Linked DNA regions of Sus scrofa. The protein of the gene in region 2 purifies or fractionates together with the protein of the main gene of each other region. This does not show direct contact. Links are inferred from orthologs where the notes say so. Each region holds a gene or a part of one and is shown on either strand. Other genes may lie near its edges. The genes, in order: ASF1A, TONSL and MCM6.

Region 1 (3,650 bases), on a different chromosome or scaffold from region 2:
AGCTCTAGCCAATTTATACAGCAGCCATCTAAACCCAGATCCATTCCTATCCCTTCACCAGGTTTTAAAACCTCAGATTCTGAGATAAAAATTTCACTTCTTTAACGCTTCTAAGGCCCTTTACAACTGGTCTCCAACCAATACCACACCCCTTTTACGCCACATCTCTTCTTCTAGAAATGTAGGTTCTTTAAAATGTAGTGATAGTCTTTCCTGTCTAGCATATACTGTTCCCTTGGCCTGAAAGGTCCTTTCCTAACATTCTGAAAAATTCATCTTCTGAAGCTTTCATCAAATATATGCCTCTCGGCAAAACCCTTTCTAATTCAAAGGTATAATTAATAGCACTCTTTATGCACTCATATTACTTGACACAAATTCTCTACTAATGTATGTCTAACAATCTAAATATGTTACCCTTCAATCTTCTCTGAGATTCTAGGCTTTATCCTGGGCAGGAGTCCTATCCAGTTCATCTTTGTAATCACAAGTCTGGCATAGCTCTAGGGACAGAGTATTTGTATTCTGAAATTCATTCAGAACTCAGTTCCTACCCTGACATGGTTTATGACCTCTGGAGAGATACCAGAATGGGGACAGAGGGCCTGTCCTGAGAATATGCTATCTGTCTTTGGGTAGAGATGGGAAATAGAGTTAGTTCAGTACGGTGGGAACTTTCCCCCCATATTGCTTCCCATCTGCTCAACAAACTCGTCCGAGGCTTGTTTGTGTTTTAAAATTTGTTTGCTAAAGGATGCAGCTTGAGCAAATTCAAGGAGAGAATTTGCAGACGTCTCAGATCATTTAGGATGGAGAAGTGATAAGCAGAGATTTTTCACTCCAACAAGCAATACTAGTTAGATGTCCAGGCACCTTCCTGCTAGCCTCTTTACACACTCAGGAGAAACGCATGTTCATCCTGAGAGTTAAAGTCATGGAAGAATAGGAGAATACTATGGTAGTTTGTTTAAAAACATGAAACAAAAACTATTTTAGTCCCTTTCTGCTGATAATGGTGAATTTTAAAAAATGCATAAGCTGAACATATGATCTAAATCACACACAACTTCCTCTGTACTTTTGGCAACATCTGCACAGATACCAAGGTAAAAAAAATCACTGGAAAATCACCAGAGGGAAATAATTTTGAATAATATTTTTCCTACAACACTCCAAGGCAAAAGCTGAGGAGTATCCTTAAACACATAGAAGAGATTCTTTAAGGGCTTTTTCAAAAACATGGCATTTATTTGCAACACTTCTAGCAGCATCAAAAGGTATATCACTACATCCCCAATTAAGTTTCTTACATCATGAATTACTACCTGTGAATTACAGGTTCTCCAGGCTTGTGGGTCAAAGCAAATACTACTTCTTTATATAACAATTTCAGGACGCTAAAAGGGAGTTCCTGTCATGGAATGAATCCAACTAGGAAATTTGAGGTTGCACGTTCAATCCCTGGCCTTGCTCAGTGGGTTAGGGATCTGGTGTTGCTGTGAGCTGTGGTGCAGGTTGCAGACGCAGCTTGGATCTGGCATTGCTGTGGCTCTGGCGTAGGCCGGCAACTGTAGCTCCAGTTAGACCCCTAGCCTGGGAACCTCCATATGCCACGGGTGTGGCCCTAAAAGGACAAAAAGACAAAAAAGACCAAAAAAAAAAAAAAAAAAAAGAAGCAGCAGCAGCTAAAAGAATTTAAAAAAACCTTGGTTCTAATTATCGAAATAGGGCACTGTCTATCAGTGATTATACTTATCTGCCGGGTTCCTCTTTTAATCCTCCGAACACTGTTATGAGGTAGGATGCTATTCACATTTTATAAATGAGTGGAGAGAACAAGGGAGGTTGGAGCCTGTCTAAAGTCACACATGGCTAACAAGCAGCAGAGTGAGATGTGACTCAGGTCTACGACTGCAGTGCTTCCCCCCACCCAACAGGCATCCTCTGATAACCCGTCCTTCACCAAGATTATTCACTCTCACAACTCAGGCTAACTATGCTTTTAGTTAATATATTGGAGCCTTTTAGTAATGTTTAAGCTTTTCTTAATCATTTATTTAGATTTAATAAAAAGCACTAAGGATGGGAGACCAAGGTTCTGAATTCTATATTGAGGAGATGGGAGGGAGGGGCAGCAGCTGTAATGATACCATATATTTGAGTGATTCTTAGCCCATAGCTGGTGGGATTATGTGATCAACAGTATTCATTTAAACAGATCTCACCTGTGAAGTGAGAAAAGTGAGAGGTCAAGGATAGAAAAGTTAGATTTTCTTTCTGTGAGTCTTCTCAGTGAGCTCTACTTTAACCGATAGAACTCTGTTGGGTAGAAATACTTGTAACAAAATTAAGTTTTTTAAAAAGCTATGGCTAGTTACTCTTTGGACTATTATAAATATCTCCTAATAAACAGGGATAATGGAGAAGTGACGGAATAGTTTTATACAACAATTTGCCATGGATTAAAAGAAGTAATATTTTTGAATACAGAAGACAATGTCTGAAGCCTTGGCACAGACCTAAATACTATCAGTGGCATCTGAGAACACAATTGTATTAGTAGAATTTCTCCTCATGAATGACAGAGTTGTGTATTTGTAACAGGAATTCTCTATAAGAGGTGTAGATTTGATGCTTTAGTAGACCACTGGACTTCATTTAGTTCCAATGACCCATGATCTCGTAGATCTCTCTCTTCTAACATACCTGTTAACCTAACTGAACTACTGATTATGCTGTAATAAACTGTTGTTTTGTTATTATTCCTAGTGACTGATACTATAATTTGAAAGTGTAAATTACTACCTATACTAGTTAGTAGTAAGCATTTGGAATCCCTGTTTGGGGCCGCTGGACAGCCACCCTCAAGGTAGATATTCCCAGGAAGAGCCCGAAATTAACCATCATGTGTGCCATGACACAGTGTAAGGTTTACTGCATGCTGTGCAAACCCTGAAGTAAACATGACAATAACATCTCTCGGCACACAAAATAAGGAGGTGGCATTCCTTATGACCTAGAGACTTCTTAAAACAATGACAGAAGCAGATAAAAAGTGAATGCAGCAGAGCCAGTGATTTAACCCAAAAGGAGAGGGTTAAGGACCATTTAGAAATGTATTTTAACTTACATATTTACCAAGAATAATCTTACCTGAAATACAAACATATGCCTTCCTGCAGGAACAGGGCCCACTAAAACAGAGTCTAAAACTTGATCGTATTCTTCACTTTCTGCAGAACCCACATAGATAATTTTCCATTCCAGGTCTAGGGTTAAAAACCAAAACATTATTTCATATTCAGTAATTACAAGATGACATCAAAGACCCTTTGAATGTCCACTTAACCATACATCAGCTGTTAAAATTGGCTTCTCATAGCAGAAAATCGAAAGACACTGAAGTGCTCCTTATAAAATGCTTACATTTCATACCAGAGTTTCTCAGAATGCTGTTTTATGAAACACTGGTCCCTGGTCTGGGCTCCTCAGGAACAAAACAACAATGACCAAAAATTTGGGAAATGCTGCCACCTTCTCTTGAGGATTCATCAAGCACAATGGCAGAGCAAGTGGTCTGAGAAACCCTTCAGTAAAGACCATTGGTAACATTAATACAGTATTTCCCAAATTTATTTGGCTAAGAAATC
Region 2 (3,750 bases):
GACTGGCAGCATGGGGACCCCGCTGACTGCCCCCTACCAGGCCCTGAGGCCACACGGACTGCCCGCACTCCCACCTCATCGCCCCCACCCCGACACCCTGAGAAGCTCCTCCCAACGAGGTGGGGGGGCCCCATGTGGCTGTTGTCACCTCCCAAAAGACACACGCCCAGGCCTCCTCTGCTGAAGGAGGAGGGGAACTTCCTACCCCCTTTGAGGGGTTCAGCCCCCAGGGTCCCCTTTAGGCTCACCATACTTGAGGGTCCGGCAGACCACTGCCTTCTGCAAAGGCTTCTGGGAGCCAAGCCTATAGGCCTTCTTCAAGGCTCTCTTGGCAGCCAAAAAATCCCCAAGGTCTTGGAGGACCTGGGGGGGGGGAAGGGGAGGGAGGCTCGCAGGCTTCCGAAGGCCGGCCACCCACCCCCACCCCCCCCACCCCACCCCGGGAGCTGGGCCCGGAGCTGCCGGGAACCACTGGCACCTGCGAGATGAGCACGCAGCACTCGCTCTCCATGAAGCCCTGCTTCAGGAGGCGTGCGCACTCCCGGGCCCCCTCCAGGCAGCGCATGGCATCGGAGTGCTGCCCCTGACGCCAGTGGATGGCTCCCAGGTTGTAGCGGGCGCGAAAGAGGTCCTCGTAGAGGTGGTTCTGCCTGTGGGTGGGGACAGGCCCTCGTGCTGAGGCACTTGGCTTTGGGACAGCAGGGTGGGCACCGGAAGTGCCGATGTGCAACCTCTGATGCCATTTGGGATCCCAGCCCCCACGAAGCAGAGCCTGCTCTGGCCCCAGCCTGAGGCACAGACGTGCCAGGCTTCTATGCTAATAGGAAACTGCCAGGGGCAGAGGTGTGAGGTCAGCCCAGCCCCTTGCCCCTCGCTCCTCACCCCTCACAGCAGGGTCTGGGAGCAGCCTAGGGGGCAGCAGCTGCTTCCTCCAGGAACGGGGCGCTCGGCTCCCTCTAGGGGTCAAGTGAGGCCTTACTCAGCAAGAAAGATGCTCTTCTTCAAGTAGGCGCTGCACAGGGCGGCCTGCCGCAGGCTCTCGAAGGTGAGGCCCAGGTTGAGGTAGAGTCGGGTTCTCATCTCACTCAGCTCCCGCTTGGCCAGTGTCCCTGGAAGACATGCCTCCAGACACTCAGCACCTCGGCCCGCTGGGGCTCGCCAGCCTTAGGCCCTATCCAGCCTCTCGTAGGCACCAGGGGCTCTGCTGCAGTGTGGAGGGACAAAGAGCAGAGGCAGCCAGACCCCAGGCGGGGAGGAGCACAGGCCAGGCGTCCCCTCAGGGGGGTCCTGCCACACAGGGCAGGCAGGCGCTGGGGCTGAAGCCTCCTCTCCCCGCGGAGTTCGGGAGGTAGAAGGTGGGGAGAGCCAGGTCCCAAGGGCAGTCACCCTGAAGCTTCTCATCCACGATAGCCAAGCTTTTCTCGAAGGCCGCCTGCGCCTGCAGCAAGGCGTCCTCTGTCTGCTGGTGGTCATAGATGTCCAAGTGAGTGCGGCCAATGGTGGCCCAGGCCCTCTGTTGTTCAGTGTGGTTGGACAGGGAACGTGCCAGGTCCAGGTAGTGGTGCTGGTGCTGGGGCACAGAATGACCCCTGTGAGCCAAGCCCCACCTCAAGCAACCCACGCCTTCCCCAACTCCAGGGGGACGCCTAGAAGAGCTCTCCACTCCCCAAGCCCCCAGAGTATGCCACACACACCCGTTATCTCTTTGCCAAGGGCTGCCTGTGGGGACGGTAGCACCCCGCTCCAACCAGCCAGAGTCATCACCGGGGAGATGAGTGGGAGTTAGGGGGGCTGCTGCAGCCCCAGAAGCCAGGGACTAGGCAGCTCTGTGTAGAAAAAGTCAGGATTCCAACCAGCCCACAAACTCAGCTCCAGAAATATGTTCACGAGGGCTTTCTGCGGCCCGGCTGTGGTGTACCCATCCAAAGACCAGGCTGCCGTCGCCTGGCACAGGGTTCTCTGAAGGTGATGCCCAATGGTAGCGTGTCCCCCTCTCCCCAGGGGCCTGGACGGTGGAGGCTGTACTCCCTCCTCAGAAACGGACCCTCGGGCAACGCGGGCCCAGGAGACGCGGCCTCCACTCACCTGCAGGGCCTCGGTGAAGTTCTCCATCTCCGCCAGCCGCTCCCCAATCTTGCGGTGGGCCACCGCGCAGCCCAGGGGGTCGCCGGCGGTCTCCAGGAGCTGCAGCTCTTGCTGGTGCTCTCGCAAGGCTTCGGCGTATCGGCCTGGGCGGGCGGGGCACGTTCCAGTCTGGCCGGACAGGGGGCCACGGGCCGCGAGGGCCAGTGGGGCAGCGACCGGCCCTGGGCGGCACACTGAGCAGGCCCCCGCCCTGCCGCCTCCCCACCTCCGGCCCCTGGCCCCCCGGTCCTCCCGACGCCCCCCTCTCAGTCCCGGACTCCACCCCACGCACCATGGCTGGCCAGGAGCTCCCCTAGCTGGTGACAGAGATTAGCCTCCTCCCGCAGCTGCCCGCTCCTCTGCGCCTTAGCCTTGGCCTTGCTCAGCTCTGCAAAAAGAAGGACGAGGCCTGGATGCGGAGCCCCCCTGCCCGGGAGAGCCAGGCCCGCTCCCGGCCCCTGCGCTCGGGCGCTCGGCAGGGAACTCACGGCGAAGCTCGCGGTCTAGACTCATATTCCGGCAGCGGCGCCAGGGGCTCCAGACTTCCCGCGTTCTCGCGCCTTGGCGGCGGTCCCTCCCACTGGGGCGCCGCGCGCAGGCCCAGTCGGGCCTGCGGCCCGCGGAGCATCCTGGGAAGTGTAGTCCAGTCGTCCGAGGCATCCTGGGAGCTGTAGTCGTGCTGGCGCCTGGCCCGGAAGGGGGGCGCGGGGCGGGGCGAGATGGAGGGCGCCTCCCCAGATTCCTGGCACCGCCCCTCAGCCCGCAGCTGCCCTCGAGGTGGGAACTCCGGGGCTCCCACCCCTGCTGCCACTGTCCTGCCAGCCCGCAAACTTACCTGCCCGTGCGGCTTGATCTGCGGAGCGCACTGCCCTCGCGTGGGAGAAGAGGACGGAGTCTGGGACCGCAAGCACTTGAGTACTTGGCGTAATCAGAGGTGTCCCTGTCACAGAACCCGTGGAAGAGCCTCGAGCGCGCCACAGTCGTCACGTGTGGGGCTCCTACCTCCAGGGCCGGGGTCGGGGGTGGGGAGGGAAGGGGACTGTTTTCCAAAATGAACTGAGCAAAATGCTGCTTCCTCGATGTGCACGCCAGCCAGTTGTTTTCCTGGAAAACTCGGGAGTACAGCCTGCAAACCTGTTTTGTGCTGAGAGGGAAAAAGGAGCAGGAACGAAGCCCACAGCGCTCTAGCCGACTTCTCAGCGCAGGAGGACACGGGGGCCCCTGTGGTCGTGGGGCACCTGGCCTCAGAACTCGAATGCCTGTCCTGTCCTTTCCCCCACACCTTGAGAATCAAAGACCTGCCAGACCTTGGGGCTCTCAGTCCCTGGCCTGCCACGGGGCCCTGGGCACCCCGAAGGCCCCAGAGGAGGCCTGGAAGAAGTGGGCAATGGGCAGTTTTATTTTCTGTGGATATGGAAACAAACCCAGTGGGGTAAAACTCTCTGCCAGTGGAAGGGCAGCAAGGCCTGCTGTTGAGGGAGTAATAGGGAGGTTGGATGGGTGCCAGGTCCAGAGAAGGAGGAGCCACAGGAAGTGAGAAGTCGGCCACAGGTGGCCCTCCTCTGTGGCTCCTGAGTGATGTGGTCCTCTCTCACCCTGCCCCCAGGGGCCCAGAGGGCAGGACAG
Region 3 (3,650 bases), on a different chromosome or scaffold from region 2:
AGTTTGTTAGCCATAAATAATTTCTTAATGCCTGAGATAGCCTGAAGTGTTTATTGTTATAACTAATCAAAGTGATTTTCTGATTTCGAATTAGGTCACAGATTATGCCATTGCCAGGCGAATAGTAGACTTGCATTCAAGAATTGAGGATTCAATTGATCGTGTCTATTCCCTTGATGATATCAGGAGGTATCTTCTTTTTGCAAGACAGTTTAAACCCAAGGTAACCTGCCTTTTTGAATTGTAATCAGGCATTATGAGTATGTGAAAGTTACATTTAAACAAAAGCATCACCTGGAAATTAACTGAACTTGACTTGTTCGGGTGTTTTTTTTAAAGTTATTTGTTTTTTTTCGTTTGATCTTGAGGGCTTTTTTTTGAGAACAGTTTTCTTCAGTGAGAGCTGAGAAAAGGGAATTTTTTAAAAGTGAAAAATTAACATTTCTTTTACTTGTTAGATGCCAGTAAAAAGATTTTTGTAAGTGAATGAACATGAATAACTATCTTACAGTAATTGATGTAGTTTATTGGATTCTGTGCTGGATCCAGAGTATTGAGTTGGACATTTGTTTCTGAAATAAACCTCTATAATGCCTTTTTTTTTTTTTTTTTTTAAGCATTTTGCTAAAGTAGAATCAAAAACTTTGATTCTCATTGAGGTTTTTACACTATTTCTGGCTTGACTTTTGGGAGTTATCCTTAGATTTTAATTCTCCAGCTCCTTCGCTTGGTTATCTAAAATAATCAGGATTGACTCTCATGTCCCAAGAGAAGCATCACTTTAATTTGCAGAGGCATTTGTTCTCCATCACTGTATGCTGGTCCTTCTGTTACCTTGGTCTGCTTCCTTAACATGCTTACTTCCTAGCTCTGAAAAACTTAGGATTCTTTAGTATGCCTCACTTTGTTATTCAGTAGATACTAAGCTTTATCAAAATATCTGGTGTGTATATATATATATAGCAGTTCCCTCATATCCACAGGGGATATATTTCAAGACCCTTAGTGGATGCCTTTGACCACAGATAGTACCAAATCCTATATATACTATTTTTTTCTTACACATACATGCCTGTGATAAAGCTTAATTTATAAATTAGGCACAATAAGAGAGTAACTGAATAGCTAACATCACTATTCTTGCACTTTGGGGCTTTTATTAAGTAAAATAAGGGTTACTTGAGCACAAACCCTTTGTTACTGTAACAGTTGATCTGGTAACCAAGATGGGTACTAAGTGACTAATAGGCAAGTAGTATATACAGCATGGATATACTGGAAAAAGAGATGATTCACACCCTGGGTGGGACATTGGGTGACATAAGATTTCACTATACTACTCAGAACAGTGCACAATTTAAAACATATAAATTGTTTATTTCTGGGATTTTCTATGTAATCTTTTCAAACTGCAGTTGATCATGAGTAACAGAAAATGGAGCTACAGATAAAGTGGGACTACTATTAATTATTGACTCCTCTTTTTCCCAAAAACTGCATAAGTTAATTAGCTGCTCAAGAATAGCCTGAATGGTAGCTTCTTTAATGAGCTTTGGCATCTTAGGTATACATGTCCTTTAGAAATGGTCATTTGCTTAAATACTAACTCTGCTGTCTCCCTGTTCATAAAATTAGTATATGGAATTCACAGTCCTAAGTATCAGTTTCTTTTAAAAGACATTTCAGTATTAATTCCTTGTCATTGGTTTCAAAGCTTTGACCCTCTCAGTTCCCCCAGAATATCTCCACCTGGGAAGCTCTTAAACTTATGTTTAAGTAAAAATGCTGACTTCATTGATGTTCTGACACAGATTTCTAAAGAGTCAGAGGACTTCATAGTGGAACAGTATAAACGCCTTCGCCAGAGGGATGGTTCTGGAGTAACCAAGTCTTCATGGAGGATTACAGTGCGACAGCTCGAGAGCATGATCCGTCTTTCTGAAGCAATGGCTCGGATGCACTGCTGTGATGAGGTATCAAAATCACTTCAACATAATAGAGAAATCATTTGTTGACTTATGTAAGCCAGCTTTGGTGTAGGACATACTAGCATTAGCTGCAGATTTTTTTTTTCCTTTTATTTATTTTTTTTATTTTATTTATTTATTTTTGTCTTTTGTTGTTGTTGTTGCTATTTCTTGGGCCGCTCCCGCGGCATATGGAGGTTCCCAGGCTAGGGGTTGAATCGGAGCTGTAGCCACCGGCCTACGCCAGAGCCACAGCAACGCAGGATCCGAGCCGCGTCTGCAACCTACACCACAGCTCACGGCAACGCCGGATCGTTAACCCACTGAGCAAGGGCAGGGACCGAACCTGCAACGTCATGGTTCCTAGTCGGATTCGTTAACCACTGCGCCACGATGGGAACTCCCAGATTTTTTTTTTTAATGTGACTGTTGATTGCTCATATGATACGTGACTGTGGGATTTTTCCCTTGTAGAAGGTTGCTGTCAAGCATTTAATGAATTTAATAGTTAGATTAATAGTAATGAAATGATCATAATGTAGATTATAGATAAATATATAGTAGTGAGTTCAAGATTAATGCCATTCGTTTGAGAGAAACTTGTTTAAACCCTACAACGCGCCAGGCCTCTGGACTGGGGATACAGGTAGAATGACGTAGCCCACATTCTCCTAAGGAGAGTTGTCTTCCTTAGGTTTGTATAATGTGTGGATATTAAATTGTTCTTCGAGCCCTGGGTTGTACAGTGGATATTTAGAGGAGTAAACAGGGAGCAGAGTGGAAGAACATTCATGCCCTCATTTCTGCTTCGAGCAAACCAGCTTACTTTTATCTAGCTTTATATTTTTGACAGTGTTAGATTTTGTTTGAGGAAAGAGTTTGGCTATTTTTCTTAATAGTACGATTGATGTATAATTCACATAGAGGAAAATGTACAGGTTTGACTTTTTACATACACCCTTGGGGCCACCCAACTCAGAATATAGAACATTTACATCATTCTAGAAAGTTTGCACCCTTCCCCAGAAGTAACCACCGTTCTGACTTCATTAACCATTTCTATTCCATAGGTTTTATTTTTTGGCTTTTTTTTCCTTTTTGTTTAATTTTTCTTTCTTTTTTTTTTTTGTTTATTTTTTCTAATTCTCTGATAATGGTGCTTTACTAATTATAAAATACTTTCGCCCTATGTGACTTATTATCAAGTCAAGAGTCAAAGATTATCTTTCGATTCTTCTGACATTTAATGGACATTTAATGAATAAACGAGCTCCTGTCTTCCATTACTGATAATTTGGTGAGAGCAAGACATGTTTAATTAGGCATATTAAATATGAGTGGGAGACTGAGCTATTACCAGCAAAGAGTACAGAGATTAGTGAATTTTTTCCCAAAGAAGGAGTATCTGGGGAGATACCACATTCAAACATGATCACTGAAAAGTATATAGAATTTTTTTTTTTAATTTTTAGAGCCATACCTGTGGCATATAGGAGGTTCCCAGGCTAGGGGTCCAGTCAGATCTATAGCTGCCAACCACAGCCATAGCCACTACCATGGTGGCATCAGATCTGAGCTGTGTCTACGGCCTATACCACAGCTCATGGCAACCTCTGATCCTTAACCCACTGAGTGGGGCCAGGGATCGAACCTGCAACCTCATGGTTCCTAGTCGGATTCTTT

What was found.
Region 1: the proteins of TONSL (region 2) and ASF1A purify together in Homo sapiens (affinity purification with mass spectrometry; 4 studies listed by BioGRID and IntAct, counting the BioPlex papers as one, with this or other methods). This does not show direct contact. The link is inferred for Sus scrofa from reciprocal best matches to the Homo sapiens genes TONSL and ASF1A.
Region 3: the proteins of TONSL (region 2) and MCM6 purify together in Homo sapiens (affinity purification with mass spectrometry; 3 studies listed by BioGRID and IntAct, with this or other methods). This does not show direct contact. The link is inferred for Sus scrofa from reciprocal best matches to the Homo sapiens genes TONSL and MCM6.

The regions. Positions count from the first base shown.
Region 1 is NC_010443.5:43,205,009-43,208,658, forward strand, and holds part of ASF1A (histone chaperone ASF1A), read right to left. Parts: intron 3,270-3,650; coding exon 3,154-3,269; intron 1-3,153. UniProt on the Homo sapiens protein: Histone chaperone that facilitates histone deposition and histone exchange and removal during nucleosome assembly and disassembly.
Region 2 is NC_010446.5:348,961-352,710, reverse strand, and holds the start of TONSL (tonsoku-like protein), read right to left. Parts: upstream 2,720-3,750; 5' UTR 2,638-2,719; coding exon 2,613-2,637; intron 2,513-2,612; coding exon 2,417-2,512; intron 2,229-2,416; coding exon 2,086-2,228; intron 1,571-2,085; coding exon 1,387-1,570; intron 1,110-1,386; coding exon 980-1,109; intron 651-979; coding exon 479-650; intron 364-478; coding exon 249-363; intron 1-248. UniProt on the Homo sapiens protein: Component of the MMS22L-TONSL complex, a complex that promotes homologous recombination-mediated repair of double-strand breaks (DSBs) at stalled or collapsed replication forks.
Region 3 is NC_010457.5:15,951,030-15,954,679, forward strand, and holds part of MCM6 (DNA replication licensing factor MCM6), read left to right. Parts: intron 1-94; coding exon 95-223; intron 224-1,811; coding exon 1,812-1,973; intron 1,974-3,650. UniProt on the Homo sapiens protein: Acts as a component of the MCM2-7 complex (MCM complex) which is the replicative helicase essential for 'once per cell cycle' DNA replication initiation and elongation in eukaryotic cells.